Linked DNA regions of Arabidopsis thaliana. The protein of the gene in region 2 interacts with the protein of the main gene of each other region in a pairwise test. Each region holds a gene or a part of one and is shown on either strand. Other genes may lie near its edges.

What was found. The genes of interacting proteins can lie anywhere in the genome.
Region 1: the proteins of FACE2 (region 2) and PDLP8 interact in a protein complementation assay, tested with the Arabidopsis thaliana proteins (one large-scale study listed by BioGRID).
Region 3: the proteins of FACE2 (region 2) and ELIP1 interact in a protein complementation assay, tested with the Arabidopsis thaliana proteins (one large-scale study listed by BioGRID).

The regions. Positions count from the first base shown.
Region 1 is NC_003074.8:22,439,335-22,445,285, forward strand, and holds PDLP8 (plasmodesmata-located protein 8), read left to right. Parts: upstream 1-2,436; 5' UTR 2,437-2,700; coding exon 2,701-3,427; coding exon of another isoform or gene 3,428-3,444; exon of another isoform or gene 3,445-4,039; coding exon 4,040-4,182; 3' UTR 4,183-4,269; coding exon of another isoform or gene 4,270-4,274; 3' UTR 4,275-4,540; downstream 4,541-5,951. Other genes in the region: AT3G60710 (F-box family protein), read left to right, coding at 864-1,039, 1,127-1,421, 1,567-1,707, 1,788-2,138; AT3G60730 (Plant invertase/pectin methylesterase inhibitor superfamily), read left to right, coding at 5,621-5,951. UniProt on the Arabidopsis thaliana protein: Modulates cell-to-cell trafficking.
Region 2 is NC_003071.7:15,211,965-15,217,986, reverse strand, and holds FACE2 (farnesylated protein-converting enzyme 2), read right to left. Parts: upstream 3,602-6,022; 5' UTR 3,381-3,601; coding exon 3,171-3,380; intron 2,863-3,170; coding exon 2,803-2,862; intron 2,718-2,802; coding exon 2,511-2,717; intron 2,338-2,510; coding exon 2,226-2,337; intron 2,124-2,225; coding exon 2,052-2,123; intron 1,977-2,051; coding exon 1,914-1,976; coding exon of another isoform or gene 1,858-1,913; exon of another isoform or gene 1,829-1,857; coding exon 1,751-1,828; intron 1,672-1,750; coding exon 1,538-1,671; 3' UTR 1,374-1,537; downstream 1-1,373. Other genes in the region: AT2G36300 (Integral membrane Yip1 family protein), read left to right, coding at 3,858-4,625; AT2G36295 (uncharacterized protein), read right to left, coding at 5,891-6,022. UniProt on the Arabidopsis thaliana protein: Protease involved in the processing of a variety of prenylated proteins containing the C-terminal CAAX motif, where C is a cysteine modified with an isoprenoid lipid, A is an aliphatic amino acid and X is any C-terminal amino acid.
Region 3 is NC_003074.8:8,082,994-8,088,089, forward strand, and holds ELIP1 (Chlorophyll A-B binding family protein), read right to left. Parts: upstream 2,677-5,096; 5' UTR 2,453-2,676; coding exon 2,309-2,452; intron 2,223-2,308; coding exon 2,124-2,222; intron 1,980-2,123; coding exon 1,635-1,979; 3' UTR 1,412-1,634; downstream 1-1,411. Other genes in the region: AT3G22845 (emp24/gp25L/p24 family/GOLD family protein), read left to right, coding at 4,380-4,595, 4,851-5,037. UniProt on the Arabidopsis thaliana protein: Prevents excess accumulation of free chlorophyll by inhibiting the entire chlorophyll biosynthesis pathway (e.g. 5-aminolevulinate synthesis and Mg-protoporphyrin IX chelatase activity), and hence prevent photooxidative stress.

The sequences.
Region 1 (5,951 bases), on a different chromosome or scaffold from region 2:
AATTTATTAATTTGATTTATTTTGTTCTTCTACATTTCGATTTAAATATTATAACGCTAGTGCTACTGTGCTATATATGGATTAACAAGCTCTTAGAGCATTTACATTGGTGGGCTCTTGATATAATTTTTAGAGATATTAAAATTTAAATTTAATATTTAATTGGTAAAATAGTTAAGATTTGACTCTTATATAAGAGACAAAATACACTTTTAAAAAATTTTTTTTTATTAAAACTCTTAATTTCAAAATAAATTATAAAATTATTGTTAAAAATATTTGCTAAAAGCTCACCAATGTGGTTGCTCTTAGGTTACCGACTAGGATATTGGTTCTCTCGACCAAGTATCTTGATTTTTGTGTGTGGTTTCATGCTCTCCAGTCTCCAATAAGATAATGACTAAATATACAACTTTTTCTTAAAACATAATTAATAAGAAAGAAAGAGTAACGAAAAATAGAAATTAACCTCATACATAATAATTGTGATATACGTATACCCTAGTCATGTCTCGAAAGCTCGTTATTGTAAAAAAAGTAGAAACACTCTCTTTAGACCAGAGTCTTTAGAAGATAAGATACTTTTTTAACGTGAAACCAAAACCCTTCTTTCCATAAACTCGTCTCAAATTTTTTGGTTTATTAGGTTTTGGAAATATCTGAGAGTGCTCTGCTCGTACGTTGATTGTGAACTTGATCTCAACTTAATTTGCTTTCTATGAATGCGATTTCGTGTTAACTGGTCTAGAAATTTCTACGACTCATGTTGCAGAACGCGGTTTAATTTTGATTTGTTTTCTTAGACCTTAGCTAATAAATACCGTGTCTTTGTCTCTTTGTTCTGTTGATCAATTTAGGGACCAATGGAAGATTTGATAAGCCAATTGCCCAATGAGTTGCTGCAAGAGATACTCTTGAATCTTCCCACGAGTGAGTCTGTTAGGACAAGTGTCTTACCGACAAGATGGAGAAATCTCTGGCAAAGTGTTCCTGGTTTGTACCTAATTTCTCGACAGATTCTTAAATTTGTAAACTTGCGGTTAGAATATGTAATTCTGGATGATTTTGATAGTTGTGAGTCTTTCTATCTACCTCACCTTGAGGTTATGCATTTAGGGTTTCGCAGTACACCGAGTGATGTGGTTCTAGAGATGCTTATCTCGTGCTCTCCTGTTCTTCAAGTCTTGAGCATTTGTGATGTTGGAGTTGACTTTTTGAAAGTGCGATCTCAGACGTTAAGGAGCTTGAGTCTATGGACATTTATCTTTAAGGGAGAAAATGATGATGTCTCCTTGGGTGATGATGGAGAATCTGGACTTGTGATTGACACTCCTAGCTTAGAGTTTCTGCGTATCAGAGATTTTCCATTGGAAGACTTCAGAGTGGAAAGTGTTATTTCTTCTATCAAGATGTGTATCGATGTACGGTTTTATGGGGAGATGACTTTTCAAACACGCAAACTTTGCACAAGTTTTTTGCTGAGTTCTCGGAGGTCACAGATCTTAGCATCTCTGGCCATACTCTAGATGCATGTATTTGTTCTTACCAAGTGTTGGTTCTTGACAGGGAACCTATGCTTACACAAAACTGCAACAACTGCCTGAATTCAAGAACTTGACCCGTTTGTACGCTTTTCTCCATACCGACTATTCAGAGATGTTGCCTATATATCTCTCCAGCAGTCCCAACCTAAAATCTATTGACTTGGTAATGATTCCTTCTCTTGGTATTGAGAGTAGCGAGTGACTATATATATTATACATGTCTTATGGTGTTTTCCTTTGTAGGAGCTTCATGGTTATCCAAAGATGGAGGAAATTGCAAGCTCACCAGTGCCAAAATGTCTCCAAACATCCATTGAGAATGTCAAAATAAAAATGACGCCCAAGGCTGACCAAGAGAAAAGCCGAAAAGCTGAAACCGAGGTTGCTAACTACATCTTAGAGAATGCAACACTTCTGAAGCTCACTCTATGGTTAGATGATGAAGAAGAAGACGAGTCTAGCAGCGTCCTTGAGAAAATTCTCACCTTTCAAAATTACTCTTTTGTAGAGGTGAAGATAGGTCGAGAAGCATCGAAATTTCGCCTAGGTTATACATTTGATGAAGCTAAGCACTTTAGTCGTCGTTTTCTTTAAATCTCTTATGATCAATCTAATTAGCCCTTTTGGTCGTGGTCAGGATTTAAAGAAAGTTGTTTCTATCACTTGAAAATTCTCCACTAACTTGATGAGAATATGTGTGATGGAATCGATCTAGCGAACATATACTAATCAAAAGGACATGCCTAAAATGGGACCCTCTTTGCACAAAAGAAGTTTCAAGATATTATTATACCCACAAAACCAAATCTTCTTTAATCATGTCTAAATCATTTTAGGCACTCTTAACAAAACAATAATGTTATCATCCAATTTGTCTACACTTTGGTATTGATTCGTTACAAGTGAATGTTCTAGACCACGTTTGTTGATCTATTATGTAGTTTTGTATTCATCCTAGCTACATTTATATATATCCACTTATTTCTTAACTACGGTATGCATTATACATGTTTGTATTAATGTCGCCGATAAAAGTTTCGGACCCATAGTGATGAATAATCATTCTCGATTATTATTGTTAAATAAAACACTACAAGGAATAAGATAGATCAAAAACGAAAGCTCCTTTGAAAACAATCTCAAAGAACAAGAAAATATGAGAAGACTCTTTCTCTTCTCTCTCCTCTTTTTATTCTTTTACTCATCCTCCTCCTCAAGATCTTCATCAGAATCTCACATCTTCATCTACGGAGGATGTTCACCGGAAAAATACACACCAAACACACCTTTTGAGTCAAACCGCGACACTTTCCTCTCCTCTGTCGTCACTTCCTCCTCTGACGCGTCCTTCAACAGCTTTGCCGTCGGCAACGACTCCTCCTCCTCCTCATCCTCTTCCGCCGTCTTCGGCCTCTATCAATGCCGTGACGATCTCCGATCATCAGACTGCTCAAAATGCATCCAAACCTCAGTCGATCAAATCACTCTCATTTGTCCTTACTCTTACGGCGCTTCTCTCCAGCTCGAAGGCTGCTTCTTACGTTACGAAACAAACGATTTTCTAGGGAAACCAGACACAAGTCTTAGGTACAAGAAGTGTAGTTCCAAGAGCGTTGAGAATGACTACGATTTCTTTAAGCGGAGAGACGATGTGTTGTCGGATCTTGAGTCGACTCAACTCGGTTACAAAGTTAGCCGGTCCGGTTTAGTCGAAGGTTATGCTCAGTGTGTTGGTGACTTGAGTCCTAGTGACTGTACGGCTTGTCTTGCCGAGTCTGTCGGAAAATTAAAGAATCTTTGTGGCTCGGCGGTTGCAGCTGAGGTTTACTTGGCTCAGTGCTATGCTCGTTATTGGGGCTCTGGTTACTATGACTTCTCTTCAGGTCAGTCCATAAATTAAAATCTTTATTTCATTTATTAGCTATTGCTCTAATTTACGTAAGTTCTTTAATTATATTCGTGAATCATGCTTAGTGCCATGATAATATAATTGAAAATTGTAGTAATGAACTGTATAGAAATGTGTGAGAATTTGACAAAATTTAAATTTCCGCCGCTTATAATTGAGAAAATCACAAGTCTAGTCGCTCCTTGGTAGCACGAGAAAGTTGAAGAAATCATAAAATTTTCGTTGCTTTTTTTTTTTTGTAATTTCCACTGGAAAGACACCATTAAGTATTGAATAAAATAGAATTAATCTTTTGAATCATTCGTTGGAAAATTCGAGTATCATGATTATAATATCATTGGTCAGAAAAGAATGTTTTTGCAATATATTATTCTTTTCTTTATAGGCATAGCCACCCATGTCCCCATTTTCAACTTTATTTTATATATTCTTTATAGCTTGATCAATATCACATAGTCCAAAAGTCATTGCATCTTAGAAAATCTAATTCTTAGCTTGATACTATATTGTCCTTATCTTATGTACTTTAATTTGTCACATACAATATTAAGATCTTTTTAAATTTGATCTAATTTTCGTTATTAAGATCCAACGAATGGAGATCACGTGGGGAAATCAATCGCGATCATCGTAGGAGTCATTGCTGGATTCGCAATTCTTGTTGTTCTCCTCTCCCTTTGTAGAAACTCCATGCGTAAGTCTATACTTACTTGCCTAATCTTCACATGATTAAGATTTAAGATCAAATCACTCATTTTTAGTATATATTTAGAAATAAGTATCATGATCTCATAATTTTTCTTATCTGATTTGCAGATTGATATAATGAAAGGCATGATTCGGGATACAAGATTCTAGGGACCTGTTTTTTTTTTTTTGAACTCTCTTGTATTCCACTATTCCTTTTATTTTGTAGGAGGAACACATCCGTTACCGTTCCTTGCTGAAATTTTTGGTTTATCAAAAGGAAAACTATTAGTGACTGATGATATAATGATTTTTAGCTTTGAGGTATTAAATATTTGTATAGTGTGACCCGTATTGTCTGCCTTAAAAAGATGCTAACTTTATTCCATTAACTAGTTTTAGACTAAAATCCACTTTCCTTAGCAGGCGCAATTATTCGATACTCATACTTAGATAAGTAGATTATCATTTCCGGAGAACAACGTGATTCGATCGATTGAGTATCATTAAACTTTAAAAGGTTCTGCCGGCAAAAAAAAAAAAGAAGAAGGCTTATAAGACTTGAGAGGTTCCATTCAATCAATTCTTTGGTTTTCTACGATCCGGATCTACCCGGTTCTCATGGGTTTCACCACATATTCCATTGAGCCATTAAATTATTATGGACTGGGCCTCGGCCTACTAAGCTTCTAAGCCGTGTAACATATCTAAAAGACTAAAACATTTTCCATGCAACCATTCCTTTTTTTTTGTATTTTTTTAAAAATTAATTCAAGAAATTCTTTTACCAAAAACATATAAACCCATGACAAAAATAGTAATTTTCACTAATGTTACAACATATTACTCCAACAAAATTATTACTTTATATATTATTCTATTAAAATATAACTGATCATTCATGGATTTTGTTTTCTTTTCTTTTTGACTCCAAATCCTGAAAATTTCTTTTATTTATATATATATATATATATATATATATATATATATATATATCTTATCCATCGTAAATTCGTAATAATGGGATTATGATTATATATCACTATACCAGTATATAAAAATTTAGGTTTAATCCAGTATATATAGTAGTCTCTCAGCTCTTGAAGATAATAAACTTATGATGAAGAAGAACAACTTAAGGTTGTGTTCTTGACACATAGACGTATACGTTTACTCACTTTGATACAGAGCGTTGCACTAATTTACAACCTGAAATGTATAACGTAATTAATGAAGTTAGTCTCATATGCATGGGCCATCAATAATCATATAAACAAAAGCTTACACATACTCTCACACGTGCCTTATCTCTCTCTCCATCTGTTAGATTCCTCGCCACCATCTTCATCTACATTTCTACGACAAGTTCCATTCTTCGTTTGCTGTTAAATACACAACAACATCAATAATTATTTACTTAAAACGCATTTCAAGAAAATTACTAAACACTACAACAATCTTATAATAACATTTACTAAAAATGTCCACGTTTGTAAAAGTCACCGACTTAATCACTATCATGTTCTTTCTAGCCATTGCTGCCGTCATAACCGCCTCAAACACAGCCGAGTTGGATGTACTTGAAATGGCTAGAACTGCTGTGGTTGAAGCCAAGACTAGTTTTGGGTCAATGGCTGTGACTGAGGCAACTAGTGAAGTTGCTGGTAGTTATTATAAATTGGGGTTAAGTGAATGCGAGAAGCTCTACGATGAGAGTGAAGCTAGGCTATCGAAACTGGTCGTAGATCATGAGAATTTCACCGTTGAAGATGTTAGAACGTGGCTAAGTGGCGTGCTTGCGAATCATCACA
Region 2 (6,022 bases):
TTTCATGGTCTTGAAATAACAAATTGTGAACAATAAGATTGGAAAATGTGACTTTTATTATTCAGTTATGTTAGTTAAGAGTTTTCTAATCTCGACCAGATTTATTTTCAAGGTACCATGTAATTGATATTAACAAATTTGTAAAGTGGTTGTTTTCTTTTAATTATTGAAATTTATATATGGATAAAGTAGTGATAAGGTCCATAAGGATATCAGAAGATACGAAAAAGTGTTTAGGAGAACATAGGTTTACCACCAATTTTAAATCACGTGATCAAAGTTGTATCCTATTGACTGTATCATATTAAAACGTCATTTATTACCTCCTTTACAAAAAAACAAATATTTCTTAATGAAATTTTGTGGTGTATTTTGCGATGATAAATTTAAAATGTAAGGTAAATAAATATTTTGAATTTTACTCACTTATTTATAATATAAATAAATAAACGTAAATTAACATAATTTTGCAAATTTTTAGTATTAGTGAAAATTTAGTTGATTTTTCTTTTTGTATTAGTTCCCTTTTTTTAACGGTTTGTATTAGTTCAAATACCAGCAATATTTATGCTCTCTATTATAAAAGCTCAACTTACAACTATAAAATAAGAATAGGATTTATGAATAGATCATAATAGTATTGGTCTTCATCTTTTTAAAACTATCCACATAAACAATAGTAATGAATCTCACTAGATAGTAGTAGTGTATAGTTTGGGTAAAATACATTTTAGAGTAGATTACTGCATATTGGTTTTGTCGAGGATGATTTTCCGGTTCAACAAATTCTGTTATATGCAAGCATAATCAACCACATCTTCTTTATGAAGAGATCCTCTCCCGTTAAATCACCGTTTACTTCACACAAACACAATATATGTGTAGTGTACAGATAATTTATTGACCATAAATTCAACTATCCAAGCTTCAAATTTCGTAGGAATATGACATAGTAATCAAGTGGTGGTGAGAAAATTACTGAGAGACCTACGAATCCTAGAAACATAATTTTCGTAACTCCTAAGTGAAAATCATCATCATAAACTCAGACTTTGAAAGTCAACTTTGAAATATAATTTTCAGAAAATTATATCCGTTTGATGATTACCCCCAAAATCTCTTTGGATGATCATCAAGCAAGACATCATCTTCTGAATCTCTGATGTAAGATTATGGACCTATGTTCAATTTCTAATCATTGTTTCTCTATTTTTATATATAAATCAAATGAATTTTGGCGTGTTGACATTGGACAATATAGTTTAGGTTAGACTTGGGGATGTAGATCATCCTTCTTCCTGTCCCTCCTAGGATAGCAAGAGAATCATTAGGGATAATACCGGAAAAAAATGGACAATTAGCCAACACTAATTTTGGAGACTTGAACCAATTATTATTATTATTATATATTTACAAGGAAAAAACTACATAAACTATCAAGAAACATTAGCTTGCAGTAAAAGACCATAATTCCAATATTGTGTCAAAAAATAGATTCTAAGACATGATGATATATAAAAAAAAACTTGGAGAAGTGTCAATTCCACAAACAATAGCCAAGCCAACACGGACAATCGTTGGTACTATCGTTGTACATGAGAGGCTTTGTTAAAGGAAAGAGAAGTAAGACGAACCCAACCACACCGCCTAAGAACGCTGCACTCACCAAACCTGAGAGAAGAACCATAACCATGTTTAGCTTATTCTTTTGCATTTGCATTTGTTAACAACCTTGAACTTTATGTCTTACCTTTTCCATTTGCGTATAGCACAGGCAATCCCATGTAGTTGCAAAATATATGAGCAAACAAAGGAGCAGCAAGATGTCCTGTAAAATTTACACAATGCAGGAGACAATCATCCATTAGAAAGGCTTTTACATGTATAAGATATATAAATGCCTGGAATGTTACCGGTTCTGATGAAGAGAAACGATGCATATGCACCAAAAATGACTGTGTAGCCAAGCTGAAGACCTGATCAACGGACAAGTGAAGCTCAGGACTGATCAACAAACAATATTATTATGATTATGGATGGCAAAGACATACCAACAATAAGTGAAGCCCGGAGATAGCTGCGGTTATGCCTGATGTACATCTCTCTAAAATGGTTTAAGTGAGCTACACAAAACATATAAAAGTCAGACAAATCCAGTAATTTTCTTTTCACTCGAGTTGTAAACTGTTATTCACAGAGAGAGAGAGAGAGAGAAAGAAACAAACCCAAGCTAAAGAGAACTGGGCACAGAAAGATGGCAGTGTTAATCCTAAACCCAGCACACAGAAGCAAAGGTATCATACATGATCGGAAAACCAGCTCCTCAGTTACTGGTGCCTGCAAATCATAAGAAACGCCAGCTCTAACAGATTATAACTTGTTCGATTTAGAACTTACTTATACACCAAACTGATGCATATAGTCCTCAGACAATTAGCAAGCAATGCCTTATGCAATTTCAATAAAGAATTGACAAGATAAGCACACAGAGATGGCAAACATATGATTACCACGATAAAATTGCGCCAAACGGAAACATTAGAAGCACTTGTCAATACCGAAGCAGGGATTGTTTGGAAAAAGCTTCTGATGTAATTAAAGGAACTACATCCTCCGCCATTTTCCTTCCATGATTCCAGGAGAGTAAACAACTTCAACACCAAAGACCCAGCATAAACGAGCGAGGTCAATAGAAGAGGATACACCACTCCTTGCCACTGTTCCATATCACAAAACATAACCATTTTAATATGAATAGTGTACAATAAGCTACGAGTAAACAAATTGAGACAAAGAACTTACCAGATGATCTTTCCTTATGCCATAAACTCCAAGTATATAAGAGGCCTCCCAGCTTTTTATCTAACATTACTCAAGCAAAAAAGGAAGACAAGTTTCAGAGATTCCTGTAACTAGCGTTGAATTGTACCAAACACAACATAGTCACCAATATTTGAGTGTTACATTCTTAGAGACAAATTGTGTGAACCTACAACAACTAGTAAAAGCTAATTCAACTCTCAACAAAGTTACAAATACATCAAATTTCTTTACTTTTAGTTTAACTTTCATCAAAACACCAAATGCATCTAGATTTGGACCTAATTTGGTTACAGATCAACGGAGAATGAACTTCAAATCGAGAAATGGCGGTACTCAAAGAAGCTTACCGGAAGTATAAAAGCTGTGAAGACGAGAGATGCTACAGTACAAATGGCCGCGCAGATGAATCGCCGAATCATGAATTCGGTGTAAGAAGAAGCCGACGGGAGACGGAGTATCACGGTGGGAACGTAAAGGATCAAAACGTAGAATAGTGCCATCGCGACGCAGGTAGCCACCGCCAACGACATCGAGATACTCTCGCCATCGGTGGCCATAATCGTTGAGGAAGCTCCGGCGAAGAAATATACCGGCTAATAAGTGTCGAAGTCACCGCTGGTTAAATCTTAGTCCGGCGGTCTTCTAATCTTTAACCAATTACATCGTGCCACGTTATAGACTAAAACGGATGACTACTGGGCCGAACAGACCCATTGGGCCAATTTCGTTTATAAAAGAGGGTATAACGGTAATATCATCAGAAGATATACGTCACCATGCCAGTTTCGAAGAAGCCTATTGGTTATATTTCGTCATTAACTAGACGGAATGACGAAACTACCCTCAGATGCCTTCTTCTAAAGTTGTCTCTTCACTGTCAAGAAGAAGAAGAGAACAAAAAAAAGAAAGGAATTTTCTCTGAAACGTCACGAACGTGTGAATTGGGTTAAAAAATTCATCTCATTGATCCAAACTTGAAACCCTAATTTCGAATCTCTTTGCTGATTTGGTGAGATCTCAATTTCGGAAAGAAGATGACGAAGGATTTCGCAGTTCCACCTGTAGTTTTCCCCTCCGGTGGATCTTCAGGCGGTGCTAATGTCCAGCAACGAAGATTCCCAGCGACACCGTTTCAACCGCCGCGTCCCTCTTCTTCCGCAATCCCTTTCATGTCATTCGACATTGGATCCGCAGCCGCGTCTTCCGCTACACCTGCCGGACCATTCGGCGGGACAATCGCTTCCTCTTCTTCTTTTGGTGGAGGTTCAGCTTCGTTTGAAGATGAGGAGCCATTACTCGACGAGCTCGGTATCCATCCAGATCAAATCTGGAAGAAGACTAGATCGATTCTCAATCCTTTTCGGATTAACCAAGCTGTTCACAAAGATTCAGATCTATCTGGTCCGATCTTTCTGTACCTTGCGCTTTGCTTATTTCAGTTGTTAGCTGGTAAGATCCAGTTCGGTGTCATACTTGGATGGATCGTCGTCTCCTCTATCTTTCTATACGTCGTCTTTAACATGCTTGCTGGTAGAAATGGGAACCTTAATCTCCATACGTGTACGAGCTTGGTCGGATACTGTTTGCTTCCGGTGGTGGTTTTATCGGCGGTGTCATTGTTCGTTCCCCAGGGAGCAGGGCCGGTTCGGTTTGTGCTTGCGGCTTTGTTTGTGTTGTGGTCCACTAGAGCCTGCTCTACATTGGTGGTATCTCTTGCTGATGGTGGAGAAGAGCACCGTGGCTTGATCGCGTACGCTTGTTTCTTGATCTATACTCTCTTCTCTCTTCTTGTTATATTTTGATTCCATATTGATAGATCGTGAATCACTTCCGATGCTGTGTTAGCAAGTAGCAAAAAAAGGCTGCAATATAAGTTCTTTGATGTGAGGTTGAATTGGGTGGGAATAGCACGGTGTGTAAAGGCTTTTTTGGATAAATTTAGAAAGGTGTTTAAGAAATTTGATTCAATGTTTGTATCTGTCACTTGATCTTTAAGGTTCTTACTTAAGAATTATTTATACAATTTGGTCGATATGTCTTTTGACATAGTTTGTTCCTGGACATTAGATTTGTGAGAGTATTGGAATTGATGTTGCGGATGATATGCTTCTGTACTAATGCAGAAGAGGTTTATATGCTTCCTATTTCATGTTTATTTTGCTATTTACTTTCCCGGTGTGAGGCTATGAAGATGTGCTGACTTCTTGCTTGGATTATACTTAAAGGTCCCAAGTTTTAGGAATGATTGGCATTAGATTTGCTTAAAGTATGGCTCCATGTAGGTAGAGTAGAATTTTGAGTTGGTTTTAGAGCTGTTGGAAACTTAGGCATAGTCTAATGAAAGAGTGATTAGTATTTAGTGGTTTGCTCGGTGTTGGTATGTTCCCTGATTAGGTGGCATAGATAAGTAGGGACATGGGATCTTGGCTTCAGGTTCGTCTTCTACTGTCAATCCCAGAACTGCACTTACTTTTCCTGATAGTATTTGCTGTGTCACGGAAATTAGAGAGAGATTTATCCGCAATTCATACTCTCTTAGATGGAATTTGTTTTAATGTGTCGAGAAGAATCAGCTATGTCCAATTGAGTGAGCATAGTATTTGTCAGCTTTACCTTCTCCTAAAACATTCAGTAGAACTGGTGTTAGAAATGATCTCTATATTTTCGTGTTGCAACACTCGTTCCGAGGGAACCATTTTTGTGTTCCACCTTTTCTTTAGAATCCAAATTGACTCAAAGGGGAGTAGGCAATTGTTTTAAACATACAATGTAAAGATGTAAAATTTCTGATATATCTGGTGGATGTACTTAAGACATACCCTACAATTTCGATCCTTGGACTCAATTGAAACCAAACTTTTAGGCGGCTTGGTCTCTCCCTTACCAGGATCTTGTCAAAGGAAACCATATATACTCATACTCACCTAGTTCTTCCATGATATCCAGATAGTGATAAACCATCTGATTAAACACTCGTAACACTTGCATATATTGACAAGATTATCTCTCAAGTGTCTATAAGATACGTATTTGTGTTTCAAGGTAAAATTGTAAGATATACATCTGATTAAGTATTCTTACTCTCAATTCTTTGATTATCAACATAGAGAACCCCTCTAGACCAAACCAAATCACTCCAACCTCTTGATGTTGCCGGTACGGCATTAGAGATTTCGGCAGCTGGTAATAGACAGTTGGC
Region 3 (5,096 bases), on a different chromosome or scaffold from region 2:
GTTTTTTGAAACATAGATTATTAGATTTCACATATGTTTTTTAATTACATGATATCATACTAGTTAATTAAATCACACGCCAAAAAACTCTTATTACATGTTTGTCATCGAATCTTATTGTTGTGTAGAGTAAACCTTCCAAAAAAGGTAATCTACAAAATAAACCCTAATACGTATAGAAAGTATAATAGTGAACCACATACATTTAGAATAGTAATAAATATGAATAAATTAACCTAGTTAAGAGAATAAAATCTAGTTATATACACTACTAGATCATGAATCTATTAATATACTTATAAAATCCTTTGAAAAAGAAAAAAAAAAAAAACAATAGCAGAAAGAAGGAATGGACAAAAAGAAAAAAAGAAAGCAAACGACATTGGTAAGTGGGAGTCACGTAAATTCTGTCTGTTGATTTAAGATTTGCGTATACACGTGCTCTGCTGTTTTTTTTCATGACTCACTGAGTCACTTCATTGCTAGATAACATTTTTAGAGGCTTTTTATTGAATTTTGCCCATATAAGATTCACACTTTTCTTTTGATTACTTATAAATTCTACTGATAACAAACTCTTTTATGATCTCACGTGAAACGTATAAACAAAATAATCTTAAGTCATTTAGTAAGAGAATTGTTATACAAAAGAGAACAATCCATAACTAAACCAATGGAAGCTATTTTCCCTGCATACATGTAAAGAATCAATATTTTCTAACTGGACTTAGGAAATGAGGGATCTCCAATGAAGCCATTGGCCCAATTATTTGGAATATGGCCCATTTACTTTACTTCACGCATGCTCGTTTCTTTTTAAATGTTAATCACTGTCCACTGGTCCTCTCTCTATGTACTGTTTTTCCGATGACCGAAAAAGTATTTTATTATTTCAAACGTAAATTATGTTTGTGTTTACATATACCTTTTTTTTTATGTATTCAGGATAAAATATTCTTAGATTTTCATACACTAATTTTTTTTTTGCTTGATATTTAAGTGATGTCTAAACATATATAAGATCTATCGGTATATGATCTATTCAAATGGCAATTAGAGTTGGTAAATTTATTATCTTCCCCAGCATTAAGATTTGAGATTCATTCAGTTTGAAGATTCTTTGATATTTTGTGTATTTTTATTTTAGTAGTTACGCTTAATGATATTGATTTTATTTTTAACTAAGACTTTTCTGAATCCACCATTTGTTCGAATTATATATCATCTATAGTGGATCACTCACCACTTGTTTCGTCGGCAAATGAAAGATGTGAATTTTCTTAACATTTTTTTTCTTTTTTTCTTTTTATAAGATGAGCATTAAATGTAAAACTCGATAGTAGGTGAAATCGTGTATTGTTATTTGTTAGGTTCGCAATTATGATGACAGGCCATTAATATAATTTGGCCTTGTAAGTCACATATTGTATGGTTATAATTTCTGAAAGTTTTTGGAAGGCGTAGAGCTTTATAGAACACCACTAATTTTAAAGTGTTTTTAACCCGAAGTTTCAAAATGTCACTTAGTACACATGTATAAAACACACAGTAGGCCTAACACAGATTACTTTACAGAGAAATTACATGGGCAAAATCGTATTAAAACATCCTCCCCATAACGTGCTCTCTTTTCCTTAGACGAGTGTCCCACCTTTGACGAACTCAGTGAACGCCAACGCGACCAAACCGAGCATCGCGAAACGTCCGTTCCAAAGCTCAGCGTCTGACGTCATGATACCTTTGGACTTGGACTCAACGCTTATGCCCTTGAAAAGCGGCACAAGCGACGCAAGTGTCAAGATCGCTGTTGTACCGAGGAACCATGAGACGCCACCGTCGGAGATCTGAGCTAAAACGTTTTCACCCTTGGATAGCTCGACAGCCAACGCCGCAACGAATCCAACCATCGCTAAACGTCCGTTAATCCTCTCTGGTGCTGGACCGCTAAACGCTAGCAAGTCGCTAAACTTTGTGCTCACCTATATTCACCACCCCAAAAGTTATTAACAAAGATTCACAAATAAAGCTTGTTTAATGAATTTTCAAGATTGTATGTTCTTAATATCTAAGACCCGATTAATTAAAATACAAATTCTTGTTTATCAAAACTTCTAAAATTATACCTTAGGTTTCATAGGAGGAGGAGGAGATGGTGACTTCGGCAACGGCTGAGCGGCCGAGGTAGATGGTGCTGGTGAAGAGTCTTCATTCGTGGGTCCTCCCTGAAAAAGTCAAATAATCAGACGGTCAGGATTTCATAGTCACATGATGAATGGCCGTTGTATCAGGGAAGTGGAGAATAACGTACCTCAGCCATGCATCTCACTCCCACCGGATAATTCCTCTTGAGGTTAGGGAAGCTACCGGCGGAGAAAAGCTTGTTGGTGTTGATCTTGCGAGTGGTTAATCCACCGGCGAAGACTGATTGCATGTTGAACGATGCTGTTGCCATTTCTAAAGCTTAGAACTACTAGTGTGAGAGAAATTAAGAAGAAACTTGGAGTAGCTAAGTGATTATCGCTTAGGTTACAGAACTTTAAGCTAGATCGTGTGTAGAAGCTTGATATGAGTAACGAATGATCTTACGTATGTATTTATAGGACGGGTGATCAGAAATGATAGGTCATTAGGTCGAGTTGTTTCCTGAACTTTCTTTTAGTTATTTACTTATTTAGCCTTTCGATATTGATAAGTTAATATAGTTCACACAAAAATAACCAACGGTCAAAAACATTACACGTGAATCATATAGTATTTGAAAGGTTCACTATCTAGGTTGAAGGATCAGCGTTCAAATTTTCTTACTACAATTTTTATTCTGATTTGTTATTAAACTGTTTCAACTGGATTAATTAACACACACCAAATTCATTATAAGTCTCACATAGTATCATATTCTTTATTGTTATACGAGTAGTAATCAACAAAGTCATTAAGTACATCACCTCGATAAAAAGCCAATTCTATGGAAAAATTAATATGGACAGTTTATCTACATTTCATATTCTTATGAACTAAAACATGCTAATTATTTTATTTGGATCTCCAAGATTTTTGGACATCCAAATTATTTCTAAACTGACTGACTCGTGTATTTGGCCGGTCCAAAACAAAACACGTAGGCTCCAAAAGTGTAAAAGAGGAAGCTGCGATATTTAAAGGAACCACGTTGCTTAGATTGTCCCCACGCATAACATAAATTTAACTTTTGAAGGACAAGGAACAAAGTCCATGGCGTGGCCTACTCATTCGCCACAGTTTCTTCTCACTTTTTTGGCCAAGTGCCAAGTGGGTTAGGTTAAAAACGTAAAAAAGATTCTCTCCATCTCCCAAAAACATGTGGCTCAAAAACAAAGCATAACATTGCTTTCGTTTCTAGAATACGTTCATTTCATTACACATCTCTCTTTATGCTTTTGGAACTTAGCTGAGTTTGGATTCAGACAGGCCCATACTTAGTCTGGCCGAGTCCGTGACTGTTCTCTCTTTGTCCCTTTCTACGTGGCCGATCCTAACTCCGTCAGTTTTTTGGTAATATTTACGGTCGTTTCAAAATGTCAATAACTTTACAATTAAATGGAGATAAAGATTATTTACTGTTAAGAAAAAAAAGACTATTTACTCTTACAGTCATACGTATCTCATAACGGGCCGTATAGGGCTCATTAGGCCCATCAACTCTAGCTTCCCTAACCAAATCATGTCTTTCGCTCATATATGTTCGTTTCTAATGTAGTGTTGACCAAATCTGCAAATTGACATTCTGATCATTTTAGTCTTTGATAACATATGAAAGAAGAATTGTCATTCTCAACCTAAGGAAATTTGGAAGGATTCACTTTTACATGGTAACACAAAGAAGAAAACATATGATTCTTTAGATTTTGTTCCCGGAAATAATGATTTCTTAGAATATAAGTACTTTGACATTATTGACCAAATAAATAAAAACTACCTTGACATTATTATGCATACATAACAGTCAATTCTTTTTAACACATATCAATGGCGTAGATAAAAAAAACTTCCAAAACGTACATTAAGTCATTAACCAATATATATACAAAAATCAAAAATTTTTTGTAAAAACAAACATCACTGAAACACTTTTTGAAGTAAAATTTTATCAATTTAATCATAATTTAGATCGTATTTTACTTACATTAAAATTAGTAATATTTTTCTCTAACTCTCTTTAATGACCAAAAGCCGTTGACCAATAAAATCTCCCCGTGTCGTCATAAACCGGTTTTAATTTCCGGTTTGGTAATCTAAGTCGCAATAAAATCCTCTTTGTCTTCTTCTTCTTCCTCTACTCGGCGAATTCTCTCGAGAAAACAAACTGAATTTTTTTGATCGAAGAAGATCTAAAAAAAAAGATGGAGAGACGACAAGCGAAGATCCATGTCTTTGTATTGATAGGTCTAATTCTATTGAATTCAATCAATCAAATCTCATCTCTCTCTGTAACGGTGAACGACGAAGAATGTGTCCAAGAGTACGTCCTTTACGAAGGCGACACTGTTTCCGGTAACTTCGTCGTCGTCGATCATGATATCTTCTGGGGATCCGATCATCCTGGTTTGGATTTCACGGTTAGCGATCTTTCAATTTACCTTTTTACCCCAAAAGTTCTTAACTTTGATACGTTTCCTTCGATAATCCCAATGTTTGATTTATCGTGAAATTGGTGTTTCTCATGCTTAATTTTGACCTGATCTGATCTTTGTAAGGATGTGACAATTTAGGGTTTGGTTGGGATTGTGGAAATTTGCTATCTTTGATTGGATTGGATTGGATTTTGGTTAGGGTTAATGTGTTGATTGATTCATTGGATTGTGTTTGTGTAGGTGACGTCACCAGCTGGGAACATTGTACAGACTTTAAAGGGAACATCTGGAGATAAGTTTGAGTTTAAGGCTCCAAAAAGTGGAATGTACAAATTTTGTTTCCACAATCCTTATTCTACTCCTGAAACTGTCTCCTTTTATATTCATGTTGGTCATATTCCTAATGAGCATGACTTAGCCAAAGATGGTTCGTTTCCATTCCCCTTATGTATGATCATCTTCATTGATGCAATCTGTATTTTGTGC